3 linked regions of the Oryzias latipes genome follow. Each later gene encodes a partner of the first gene's protein in a complex. Links are inferred from orthologs where the notes say so. Each region holds a gene or a part of one and is shown in the gene's direction. Other genes may lie near its edges.

Evidence for each region.
Region 2: rrn3 (region 1) and polr2k share a complex: the UniProt entries of both Homo sapiens proteins name them as parts of the pol I pre-initiation complex. The link is inferred for Oryzias latipes from reciprocal best matches to the Homo sapiens genes RRN3 and POLR2K.
Region 3: rrn3 (region 1) and znrd1 share a complex: the UniProt entries of both Homo sapiens proteins name them as parts of the pol I pre-initiation complex. The link is inferred for Oryzias latipes from reciprocal best matches to the Homo sapiens genes RRN3 and POLR1H.

The regions. Positions count from the first base shown.
Region 1 is NC_019866.2:25,544,614-25,548,577, reverse strand, and holds the start of rrn3 (RNA polymerase I-specific transcription initiation factor RRN3), read left to right. Parts: upstream 1-1,164; 5' UTR 1,165-1,413; coding exon 1,414-1,512; intron 1,513-1,784; coding exon 1,785-1,841; intron 1,842-1,912; coding exon 1,913-2,002; intron 2,003-3,964. UniProt on the Homo sapiens protein: Required for efficient transcription initiation by RNA polymerase I (Pol I). Required for the formation of the competent pre-initiation complex (PIC).
Region 2 is NC_019869.2:7,013,698-7,017,962, forward strand, and holds the start of polr2k (DNA-directed RNA polymerases I, II, and III subunit RPABC4), read left to right. Parts: upstream 1-1,465; 5' UTR 1,466-1,579; intron 1,580-2,644; 5' UTR 2,645-2,722; intron 2,723-2,805; exon of another isoform or gene 2,806-3,285; intron 3,286-3,589; exon of another isoform or gene 3,590-3,695; intron 3,696-4,265. UniProt on the Homo sapiens protein: DNA-dependent RNA polymerase catalyzes the transcription of DNA into RNA using the four ribonucleoside triphosphates as substrates.
Region 3 is NC_019869.2:21,549,357-21,553,127, forward strand, and holds znrd1 (DNA-directed RNA polymerase I subunit RPA12), read left to right. Parts: upstream 1-1,211; 5' UTR 1,212-1,333; exon of another isoform or gene 1,334-1,473; 5' UTR 1,474-1,484; coding exon 1,485-1,602; intron 1,603-2,276; coding exon 2,277-2,380; intron 2,381-2,461; coding exon 2,462-2,571; intron 2,572-2,644; coding exon 2,645-2,669; 3' UTR 2,670-3,271; downstream 3,272-3,771. UniProt on the Homo sapiens protein: Core component of RNA polymerase I (Pol I), a DNA-dependent RNA polymerase which synthesizes ribosomal RNA precursors using the four ribonucleoside triphosphates as substrates. Can mediate Pol I proofreading of the nascent RNA transcript.

The DNA.
Region 1 (3,964 bases):
AAAGTTCATACGCCGCTCCTTCTGAAGAAAATGACTTGCCGCTTGCTATCACTTATTCATAATCTCAGGGCTCACCGGCGCCCCTAACATGAGGCACGAGAACTGCTGGCCTCACCCAGCGAGTTTTTTGCCGGGGTTTAGCGCTCAGCACAGGAAACACGTCCCCCACATACAGTTATTTATAAAAGAAAACACTGTACATCATATACATCTGCTAAATTATGTAAACTCAGCTGATATAGTACAAGTGATTGAACCGACATACAGAGAGACAGCAGTGCCGTCTGACTGCATAGGTATTGCGCAATCCAAGGTGAGGCTCAGCGGGCTGGTGCCTCATCGCACGTCACTTCTTAGTATCTGAACGGCAAATGCGGAAATTCAGCGATTTTGAAAAGAAAAAACACCCAAAAATGGTACATTTAAATGGAAAATGACTGCAAAGCACAAATTACTGATTAAATATAATTGAATTTATTTTTTCTCTTTTCTTCCCATAATGACAGGTGAGGCACCTGCCTCTCCTGACTGCACGTCACTGTGTATAGAGTATATATTATTTTTAGTTTTATTTAGAATGTTGTATCATAAAGTTTGTTTGTTTTGAGAGAAGGTTAAATGCAATTTTTCCACTCCTGAAACAGTTCCAGCATAATAGTGTAGTGGCGGTCACGCGCACATTGCTGTCGGAGCTGGCAGCGCGGGGAATTGTGGGATATAATCCGCTTGGCCTGCTCTGGTCACGTTTGGGTTGAGTACGGGGTTTATTTTGCCTGTGTGTCCTTCCATCTGGCTGTTTTATGGCTGTTCACTCTTAGTTATTTAATCCTGTTGTGGTTACTTCTTTTTTGCACTGAGTTCAAAAAAATAAAGCCTAGAGATCCTCCTATCTTGTCTCTCCGCTTCCGTCATTGATGCATTGCTACAATACTGTAATACGTGTATTTCTTGAATGTTGGATCAACTGAAGAAAATCCTTTCATCAGTAAATGTTCATCTTTCTTTACTGCATCTTACAGTTTTAACAGTTGTTAGACAAAAAGAAATTACTTAAAATCAATGACAGTCACTTTGAAAAATATACTTTCAATCATTTTATGTTTGTTCTAAAAAATAAAGAAGGCAGGAACTGTGAGGAAAAAACTCTTCCCGGAGATCTTTTAGTGTGACACCGGTCCCTCACGTAAACACGTCCCCAGCACGCCGCTGCTTCCCGGCTGTAGTGTAAAAAGGGGGTGACGCGCTCAGACTCGTGTCGGTTCTGGTTCTGTTTGTTTCAGATGTTGTAGAACTTTCGTTATCGAGGAGCTACAGCGAGAAGACATCAGAGAGAATGCCGCGGGGCCGCGCGCCTTCGTCCGCGCGGCTGTTTTAGCGACGGGAACCCAGCTGCCGGTGGCGCGTGCACCCACCATGGAGGGGAACACTAACAGGGACTTCCTGAACTCTGACCCGCTGAAAACGGTCCGGTTCGGGGGCAGCGTGGCCGAGACGTTAGAGAAGCACCGGCAGGTACTCGTTTCCGCCGCAGACTGAAGCTTTGGTCCGGTTGTCAGTCCGTTCCATTAAGTTGTGACGTGGCTGCATATTTAAATAAAAAGAAAGCATTATGGAGGTATTTTCTAATGTTTGAATTTAAAGTAAATTGATTCGCATTGAATTGTAAAATTGGTTGCGGAGATACTAAAAAACACAAAGCTGGTGTGCATTAGGATGCAACTGATCCTGAACTGTTCTACTAGAATCTTGGTTGGTGGTTGTTGATGTTCTGTTCGGTTCTACAGGGGGACTTTGGTGATTATGAGCTGCTGCAGCATCAGCTGGCAGATCCAGACATTAAGGTGGGTTCCGGTATTGGGCCGACTGGTCCCGTTGGATGGTTGGTACTGAGCTGCTCCTCTGCTCCTCACAGGACGCTCAGATCATCAGCTGGCTGCAGGAGTTCAGGAGCTGCGTCACCTTGTTGAAGAAGGACCACGAGCAGCTGGTCCATACCGTTCTGGTGAGATGCAGAGAGTTCTGGGAGAGGAAATCCTCCTGTTGATTTCCTCATTAAACATCTGTGAATATTCCATTCTGGGTGGAACTAGGGTTGGGCGATGTCCCCTAATTTGGCCGTTGACGATGTTTGCTGTCAACCATCGGGATGGACGATGACATCGTCGGGGGGGGGGGGGGGGGGTATTTTTACATTTTTCGTTCTTATATAACTGCTATTCGTTATTTTGCTTTTTTCATTTTATTTCCCAACTAATGGTTAATCCGCAATGATCCAGTATAAACTGAGGGGAAGTGACTTTAACAGAAAAAGTAACAAGCAAAATAGAAAAGAAGTGGTCCGCTCCCGCACTTAACTAGTGAAGTTGACCGGCGGAGGGCGGATTTACAGCTTTATGTTTGATGGGAAGGGGGGGGGGGGGTACATGAGCGGTATGTGTGGGAGATTTAAGACTGCGATCCGTCCCGCAGCTCTAGGGGTACTAGCTACCGAACTCAGAACCGGGTCTAAACGTGTGTCTGAGCACAGTTCGGATCGTCAGCACACACAGCGGTTTGAGCTTCAAAGCAGAAATGTCGCTCAGTCCTTAGAAAACATTCAAACAATCACGCGGATTTGTGTTTCCAGTCGTGTCCCGACTAAATAAAGGCTGATGTTATTCTTACACGTTTACGTGCAGCGCCACCCAAAGCTAATGTTGTTAGCCCGTGTTAGCATACTGCTAATCCTGGCTTCGTTCAGAAAAAGCACTGACCACACGGATTAAAATTCAAATGATGAGCGAACAGGTGTTTCATAATAACCGTAACATTATTAAAAGCACGTTTAGAAGATCGTCTCGTATTTTACCGAGCTGACATGTCAATGTATATAGCTGCTCGCCGCTGTTATCGTTTTGTATTGATTTGTTACCTTCAATAAAGTTTGGAAAAAAAAGCCGCTCGGCGGAAGTTGTATCCTCTTCCGGTTTTCAAACTGCGCATGTGCGAATACTGCGCATGTGCGAATGATTTATTCCGACCGAAATTGTGACCTTAGTGAACGTTTTTATATTCTGAAAACATTTTTCTGGGCCCATGTACACGGTTGGATACTAATCCGACCATTGATCCCATCAAGATATTTTGTACATGTAACCGCGGCTTATGGTGTCGACGCGCAACGTGGCGGGGGCGTGGCATCACGATGGTGGTCTCTCCATCGGGATGTCAGTCACCCATCACGATGGACGATGATATCGTCCATCGGCACAACCCTAGGTGGAACCATTCACTGTAACAACGATTCACATCATCATTTGTGCTCGCTGATCCGGTTCTCTGACCTAAAGTGGATCCAGATTCTCTGACCTAAAGTGGATCCAGATCCTCTAACCTAAAGTGGATCCAGATCCTCTGTCCTAAAGTGGATCCAGATCCCCTGTCCTAAAGTGGATCCAGATCCCCTGTCCTAAAGTGGATCCGGATCCCCTGTCCTAAAGTGGATCCGGATCCTCTGACCTAAAGTGGATCCGGATCCTCTAACCTAAAGTGGATCCAGATCCTCTGTCCTAAAGTGGATCCAGATCCCCTGTCCTAAAGTGGATCCAGATCCCCTGTCCTAAAGTGGATCCGGATCCCCTGTCCTAAAGTGGATCCGGATCCTCTGTCCTAAAGTGGATCCAGATCCCCTGTCCTAAAGTGGATCCAGATCCCCTGTCCTAAAGTGGATCCGGATCCCCTGTCCTAAAGTGGATCCGGATCCCCTGTCCTAAAGTGGATCCGGATCCTCTGTCCTAAAGTGGATCCAGATCCTCTAACCTAAAGTGGATCCAGATCCCCTGTCCTAAAGTGGATCCGGATCCCCTGTCCTAAAGTGGATCCGGATCCTCTGTCCTAAAGTGGATCCAGATCCCCTGTCCTAAAGTGGATCCGGATCCCCTGTCCTAAAGTGGATCCGGATCCTCTGTCCTAAAGTGGATCCAGA
Region 2 (4,265 bases), on another chromosome or scaffold:
TTATGTGTGATGAGAGAGTTCTGCCCTCTTTGGTGAACACATCTGTCCAGAACACGGAGAGTTCTGCAGCTGCAGCTTTGTTTTGTCGATGATTAAGTCTGAAAAAAAGCACAAAACAATTTGTTTACTCAGTACTTTCACATCTCTTTGTGCCAAATGATTCAATGCATCATCTCTCACCACCAAATCAGCCCAATTTCAAAGTATTTAGAGATGCAAATACTTTGCTAAATCTTTTAGATTTCTCCTGCATTTCTATGATTTGAACCTTTTCAGTCTGAGTGTACAAAGTGAGACATGAACTCATGAGCTTCTGCACGGGTCCAGAATCCACCACTCCACCTCTCCCATCCCTTCCCAAGACTGACGACCTGCCTCACCTTGGACCTTCTTCTCCCATGAAAGCTGGTGGGAGTCTTCCTCTTTCTTCATCCAAAGTCAGTCAGTGGGTCGTTCTGTGTTTTTCCAGGTTTCTGCTGGTGAACAATGACAGAGGTTAGATCTGCCGCAGAAACACCAGCAGGTTCATCATCACAGCATCATCGGAGAAATCTCCTCTCAGCTTCTTCACTCCTGGTACTTTGCTGGATCTCATTTCCATTTAAATCTCTGCACACATTTTAGTTTTCTGTGGAAACAATATTCCTATTATTAAAAATGTTCTGATTCAAAAGAAGTTTATTCTTGATATTTTCTTTTCAATTCTACTTTTATTGCAAATAAACGTTCCCTGTAAAAACAAAATCATCTCCGCCTGCAAACTTTGTATTAAATATGTTCTTTCCTTTTCCTTTTTCACTAAAACACACGTAACAACGTGAGTTCACTTCTTCACAAATACATTAATCTCTTTTAGACACTTGAAATAATGCAAACTATTTATTTGTCTTAAAATAATGGAAAACCGGCAGTTATTTGAAGGAATTGGAACGAATCCGGCTCTCTGATTGGACACAGCAAAGTTTGATACTAGAAATTGGAACAATTCTGGCCATTTGATTGATTGAGAAGTTGGAACACTCTGATCAGGCCCGTCGGAGGAAGACTTCCTCTCGCCGTGCAGAAGCTCCCGAGTTCGCGGCCCGCTGTGCGCGGTTGCAGCATAAAGATCCTCTGCTGCTGATTCTTCTAAAGAAACAAACAACTGGAAGGGATTCACTTCTTCTCTCAACAGAAAGAACCTGTAAATGGATGAAAACCATGAACGCGTGAGGTCATCGATTGATCGATTCACAGACATTCATTAAAGGTGGAAATCAATGTTTTTACTGTGTTTGTCTTTAAAAACCTCATTTCTTAGTTTATTGTTTTATTTATTTAAGTAATGATTTTATAGTGTGTGTGTGTGTGTGGGGGGGGTCCATTTATAGATAAACAAAATCCTACTTGTGCTTTCTTTATTGTTTTTTAAATTCCTAAACTTTTTCAAGAGAGATTTTCTTTTTCGGACGTTCCCTGAATGTCTCGGACTAGTCACCTACTGGACTCCAGCGTGAAAGGTTCGGATCAGAACCGCTCTGGGTTCGGCTTTTGTGCTTCCGTGTCCTACTTCTCCCGAACAACCTGAGTCCAAACGACGGTGAGGAGCAGAATTCTGCTTTCTGAGCTTCACACATGCGACAATCATGAGAAGACGAGCAGCTCATGCGTGGCGGTTAAGATCAAAGAAATTGTTCAAAGCTTTTAGGGAAACGAAAGACGACGGCCGCCGTGTTTGCTCAATTAGTTCACTTTCTGGAGTGATTTAAGTCGATATTACGAGATTATAACTACTGCTTTCGTGAGATAACGGAATAGATGTGTTGCTCGTCTTGTCGAAAACACAGTTTAATGATGTGTTATTAGTAGAAAACAAAAACAAATTTAATTGTTGCTAACGTTCAAAGCTCTAATCTAAATAAATGGCGGATTTGAAAGTAGTTTCTGGCCCGCTAATTTCACCAAATTTCCATTCCGTTCCAGTAAATAACGTTAAACTTCTTATTTATTGCTGACTGTGGGTGTTTGTCGTCAATTTCTCTGCATTTGGACGGCCAGAAAGCGCGTAGAAAAGGTCCAGTTATTTGATCATTTGATCACTGTTTTTTTAGGACTACGGCAGTTGTCCTAAAGCGAGGTGATAAGGACACGTCTACAACTTGGGTGACTCCAACACGCTGGTTCACTCTAAGAAAAGCAGTAATAAAGTAATAGTATGGATTTATGTGGAGTTTGTTTGAACAATAGTGAGTACTTGTAATGTTTTAGAGGTTATTTATGTTGACTTACTGAGAAACTGCTATTGTTTGTCTGGGGTGTTTTGGTGTACTTTATTGACGGTCCCCGTCTGCCTCTGTAGCTTCACATCGAAGTAAACTCAGGCTGTGACTCGTTTTCTGCTTCACCACAGACACAAATAAAAAGTTTACACTAGTCAATAGAACTATATCCAACGTCATGTTTGTGGATAAAGTTAGTATGAAAAAAACAAAGCAGACCGGTGACCGGATGTGTCTGTGACACGAACACATTCTCAACTTCTAATTGCAGCTCATCTTATATGTTTGATGAGCAAATGAAGTTATTTGCCTTTATAGTTCTTGAAATACTGGAACAAAATTCCACAGAATAAATATAATGAAGATCCACCGTTTCTTTATTTTAGTTGAATGCAACGCTTCCATGTAATGAATCTCCAGGTGGAGCGGTGAAACAGCGGCACCATGTGGCAGATCTACAGCAGGTATTTTCTGCATTAAACATGACTGTATCTTTGTGTTTAGAAACAGGATTTTTGAAGTAGAATTTTACCTCACAGATGCTCACAATGTATTTAAAGAATTTCAGAGGCAGCATATTGGAGAAAAAGCAGGAAATGGTCAGAATTTAGTTCAACCAGGAGCCGACAGGCTCTCAACAGGGAAGCAAGCCACTCAGGATCGTCTCCGCACCAATGAAAGTGTATAATCCTGGTCTTTGATGGGTTCTTCTTATTGAATTTAGGTCCATGTGAGTTCTGTTCGTCCTGTTGCTGGAAGCAGAAGCACAGACTCTCGTCTCTGAGCTGATCTTTCTGCAGCGAGTCGTCGCTTTGGCTTCCTGCTTGAAGGCAGCAGCAGAATGACGTCAGTCTGACGCGATCAGACCAGTTTTCTCTTTCTCCACACAGATCCTTGTCTGAAAGAGTCTCCACCCCTGTGTGTGTAACCATCAGCACATGGGGGTTGGTTGGAGCTGCGGTGGGGGTTGGTAAAGGTCCTCCTGGAGGGGTGTTGACTCGACCTTTTGTTCTGGCGCTTCCGGGAAACCAGTCGCACTCGTCTGACGTGACAAAACCCCCCTTCTTTTCCCAGAATCCTTCCAAGAAGTCTCTCACAAAGTCAGAAAAAATGTAATTTTAATCTGATTTAAGCATTTAAGTCAAACTTTGAATGGAGATGGTGAACCTGAGACGATCCTGTGTCATGGGAGAAACAGAGGATCTTTTTTGGTGTTTTGTCTTAATTGTGGTTCCCTTTAAAGTCCACTGTGTTCCCTCAGATCACACCTCATGCTTGAGAAGAGTAGCAGAGGGGAGGGTTTAAAAAGCACTCCGAGACATTGGCTCATTGCACTAGTTCTCTAGTGCATATACTAAAATTGGAACGATACAGAGAAGATTAGCATGGCCCCTGCGCAAGGATGACACGCAAATTCGTGAAGCGTTCCTCATTTTCTCTTTTAAAAAACAATTTCACCTAACTTTGTGTCATTGTTTTAATAAAAATAGCCCTTAATATGAACCATCCAGCTAATATATGACAATTTTTAATAGAGTTCATAGCAAAAGTTTCAGGAAAACTCACAGCAGACAAAATTATAGATGTAAATTAAAGCCGTACGTGGCATTGTAGGCGCTACCCGCTTCTACACACCACCTCCGCTATCGCTGCCCACCTCTATGCAGCTCAGCCGCCCTCACCACCCAAAAAATGCATATACTAACCATCCTAACTATGGTAGTTATGCTAAAATGGCTAAAAGTGCTAGCTTAGCGATCAGCATCATCAGCGTACTCAGAAAAAACACATTGCTTAAGACTCTAAATATGCTAACACTGCTAGATATGCTATTTTGGCTAGAATTGCTAGCATTGCGATCAGCATCATCAACTCACTCAGAAAAACACATTGCTTAAGATGCTAATTATGCTAACAATGAAAGTTATGCTAGTATGGCTAAAAGTGTTAGCTTAGCGATCAGCATCATCAACTTACTCAGAAAAACACATTGCTCCATTAGTAAGA
Region 3 (3,771 bases), on another chromosome or scaffold:
AGTTTAAAGGTGTTTAGACAAAGTTCTGACCAGAAGCTTTAATCTGTGCTGATGCTCAAATCCGCATCCCATTTTGTTGTCGGAAGTGAAATATTATTATCTAAATTACATAAAAGTTTGTATATTTTGGAGAGAGTTTTTTTCATTGAGAAATTAATCAGAGTGGTAACTACGTCTGGTAGCTTGAAATCGTTGTCTCTGTATTTAAACTTTTTAGTAATAATTGATTTAAGTTGCTGATATTCCAAGAAGTTATTTATTCCATGTTTGTCTTGAAGTTCCTGGGGAGTTATGAATCTACTATCAATAATTATGTGCTCTAGTTGTTTTATGCCCCCTGCTTGCCAATTTATGTCGATTTAAATAGGCAAGCAGGTTGTTTTTATTTTATCAGGTTGTAATTTATTTTTAAAAACCTTGTTTAAATCTAATTTTGTCTTGAGGCTGTGGGCAAAGATATAAATACGGATTAATTGCCTTGTGTGTGAAACTGGAGGCTCAATTTTTTACAGATCGGAATTTAATTACAATTATTTGAGAGGAAACTGCAAAAAACTACATGTAGATATGCAATTGTGGCCAGAAGTACAAACAGGATTTACCAGGAAAAGCATTAATTCCTAGGAAAAATAAAGGAGGCTATTCAATTAAATTGTTGCCAGCTTGAATACTTAAATGCAAAAGCTCCCAGGTGAACTGATAATTCCTAAATTTGCTAAACATCTGAAATTATTAGAAAAACTCAATAATGAACAATGCCACAAATGCAATATTACAAGATAATACTGCTGTGAGAAATAACAAAAAAACAACTAAATATGTTGAGCAACCAAAGGAATTTGATGCAAGCTAAGTGCTTAATTTGCTAAATACATTTTAAAATTATTTTTTTTAAAATAATGGATTTAAAAAGACAGAAAAACCATCAAACATTTGCGAGAAAGGAAACAAAATGACATTTATTAATTCGATTTTTGGCTAACTGAAACATTAGAGGTGAAAATATCTGGATTAAAACACACTTATAAAGTTACAGTAGTCTAAAACCTTCATATAACTTACAACAGTAGTAAGTGATGAATTTATAAGAGTCAACTACGAATAAATAAGGTCTTTTGAGTTGTAAAACGTTGGAACATCCTTAAAATTTAGGGTCAAATGAAGGAAAACTACAATGGTGTCATTCACATTTCTGTCCACTACGAGGCGCTCGTGTTTACGTGACATTACCATCTTCTAGTTAACATGAAGAAGAAGAGCGCACAACAACACCCAATGCGGGCGAGGAGAAAGTAAATTATTGTCTGTTTTTGTGCAAACAGCCATCGATCAGGTAATTATCCTCAAATCACTCCTCCGAGAGCCCGCGCGCGCCCACCCACGTGCCTGCAAGTTAGCATGATGTGTTAGCTATCTGTCTGTCGGACTGTTGTTGTGTCACGTGCTCTGAACATAGCCGCCGCGCTTCCTCAGAACCAGAGCAAATGTCTTCAAACGGCCGCGACCCCAACTTCTGTCAGGATTGTGGCAGCGTCCTGCCGTTGCCAGGACTGTCCGACACGGTGCGCTGCCCTCGCTGCTGTCTCTGCACGCCCGTGACAGGTAAGCGGTCCACGCCGCCATGAGAGTCTGCCTGCTCTGCTGCTGGTTCATGTCCCTCAAGAACCGAATGGCTTTTAAGCACCAAGAGTACAGTCAAAACTACCGGTTTACTGAAAATGAGGCACTCAGTCTGACATTTCCCTCCATTTTTTATTTGTTTTTGATCAGCAACTACCTTTAAGTTCACATTATGTGTAAGTTCTTCCTTGATTTTTTAGTTTCTCTGATTTGACTGCCCTCCTTTCTTAATGACTAGTATGCTTTAACAAGAATGGGAAATAAAAAGCAACCACCTAAAACTGCTCAAATGAAACATTTCAGACAAATCAATTTAGCATATGATCAACATCAGTCATTGAATTTCTTCCTCAGCCGGTCTGTGGAGCAGTGATGAGACAGTAACCTCTGCTGGGCTCACTCCTCCTCCCTGGGAAGGCCTCATATTGGGGTTGGAGATCCACTGGCAGCTCATACATGTGTCCTTTACCACGTGACACTATCACAGGTCATGGGAAGGATGTTGAGGATTCAGAAGAACTCTGTTGCTGAAAGTTACTCTTAATGCTTTCATGAAATTATTTGAGCCAGTCTGCACTGACAAAAGGGTTCTCCTGATGTCTCTCTAACAGGTCTAATCTGTCCAATCCTCTAACTGTGCTGCTTTTGCTCTGCAGAGTTCTTGGGAAGAGAAATTCAGTCTGGGGTTATCTTCAACCCCGCTGAGCAGACCTTGCTGGCTCTGGAGGATGAGGAGAACTCAGAGCTGAAGGGCCCTGTGGTAAAAGCAGCCGTCCGCTCAGCAGTGGAGCGTTCGTTGTCGCGGTAACGCCTCACGGTTTGCTTCTTGCCTTGCTTGCAGATTGACCGACGCTGCACTCGCTGCAATAAGGAAGGCATGATCTACCACACTAGGCAGATGAGATCTGCAGATGAAGGACAGACGGTCTTCTTCACCTGCATCCACTGCAGGTAGGTGGCGTCAGCGTGACCCTCCTGTCCTGCTGTACGGTTCTGGAGCTGACCGGTCTTTGTCTTGTTTCAGGTTCCAGGAAAAGGAGGACTCCTGAGAAAAGCTTTTGCTTACTATCTGATCACAATCACCTCAACTCTGGTTCTGTTTTGATCCAGGGAGCTGCTTTTTTGTAGTGATGAGCTGTTTCTGTTTGTTAAACTGAACTTGTGCATGTTCTGGTGCACGTGTTGGTCCTCTCCACCTTTGTCACACATGACACTGGTCAGTTCATCGGGACTCTACAAGAAAAAAAACAGGAATCGATGTCTCAGATTTAAACTGCAGCCACGGAGGCTCAGGACAATCAGGTATACATTTTACACAAGTCAACTAAAGTGAAGGAGCAGGACAGCAACTCAGCAAACTAACCAGAAACAATAAAACTGTATCAGCTGTTTATATTTATTTTTCCTGAAGCATACCCTGATTCTCAACTGGACAGCTGTTAGTACTTGCGCGCATTTTCTCAGAAAATGATCTCTTTATAGTTTGATTAATTTCTTTAAAACTCTTGTCAAAGACCAGAAAACTGTCATCCTATGTTTTTATAAAGTATTCTACCAAATTTGAACTGTTGTATCCAGTAAGGCTTCAACTTACATCTCACATGGCTGTTAAATTGTTCTTTAAATGATAAAGAACGCTCTTGGTATCTGACATGTTCTTTTTGTTGATTTATTGAAGCAGAATGGTAAACGGCGTATACTTATTTAGCCCCTTAACTATCTTCTTGGAGCATTTTACAGTCACAGTTCCATTCACCCATGAACACACACACTGATTGTGGCTCAGCTACCAAACCATGTTGCCAACCTATAACCCCCAGAAGCAAGGTGGGGTTCAGTGTCTTAACCTTGGACACATGGGCGGGTAGGGTGGGAATTAAACCTGCAACCTCTTGATCAGGGGTTGACCGCTCTACTTCTGCACCACAACTGCCCTGTTAAGTTGCCAGCAGCATTTAGAAAAAAACAGTTCAACCTCCTTGGTCTAGTTTGGTCCTCCTGGGCCTCAGTAGCTCTCCATCATACCTATACCCCCCCCCCCCCCCCAATCTCTCTCTAAAGCCTTTTTAATAACTGCCCCCCTCATCTATTATCCACAGGAGATGCACAAGCAGGCAAGCTATTTGGCATAAAAGTAAACTCTTACAAAAA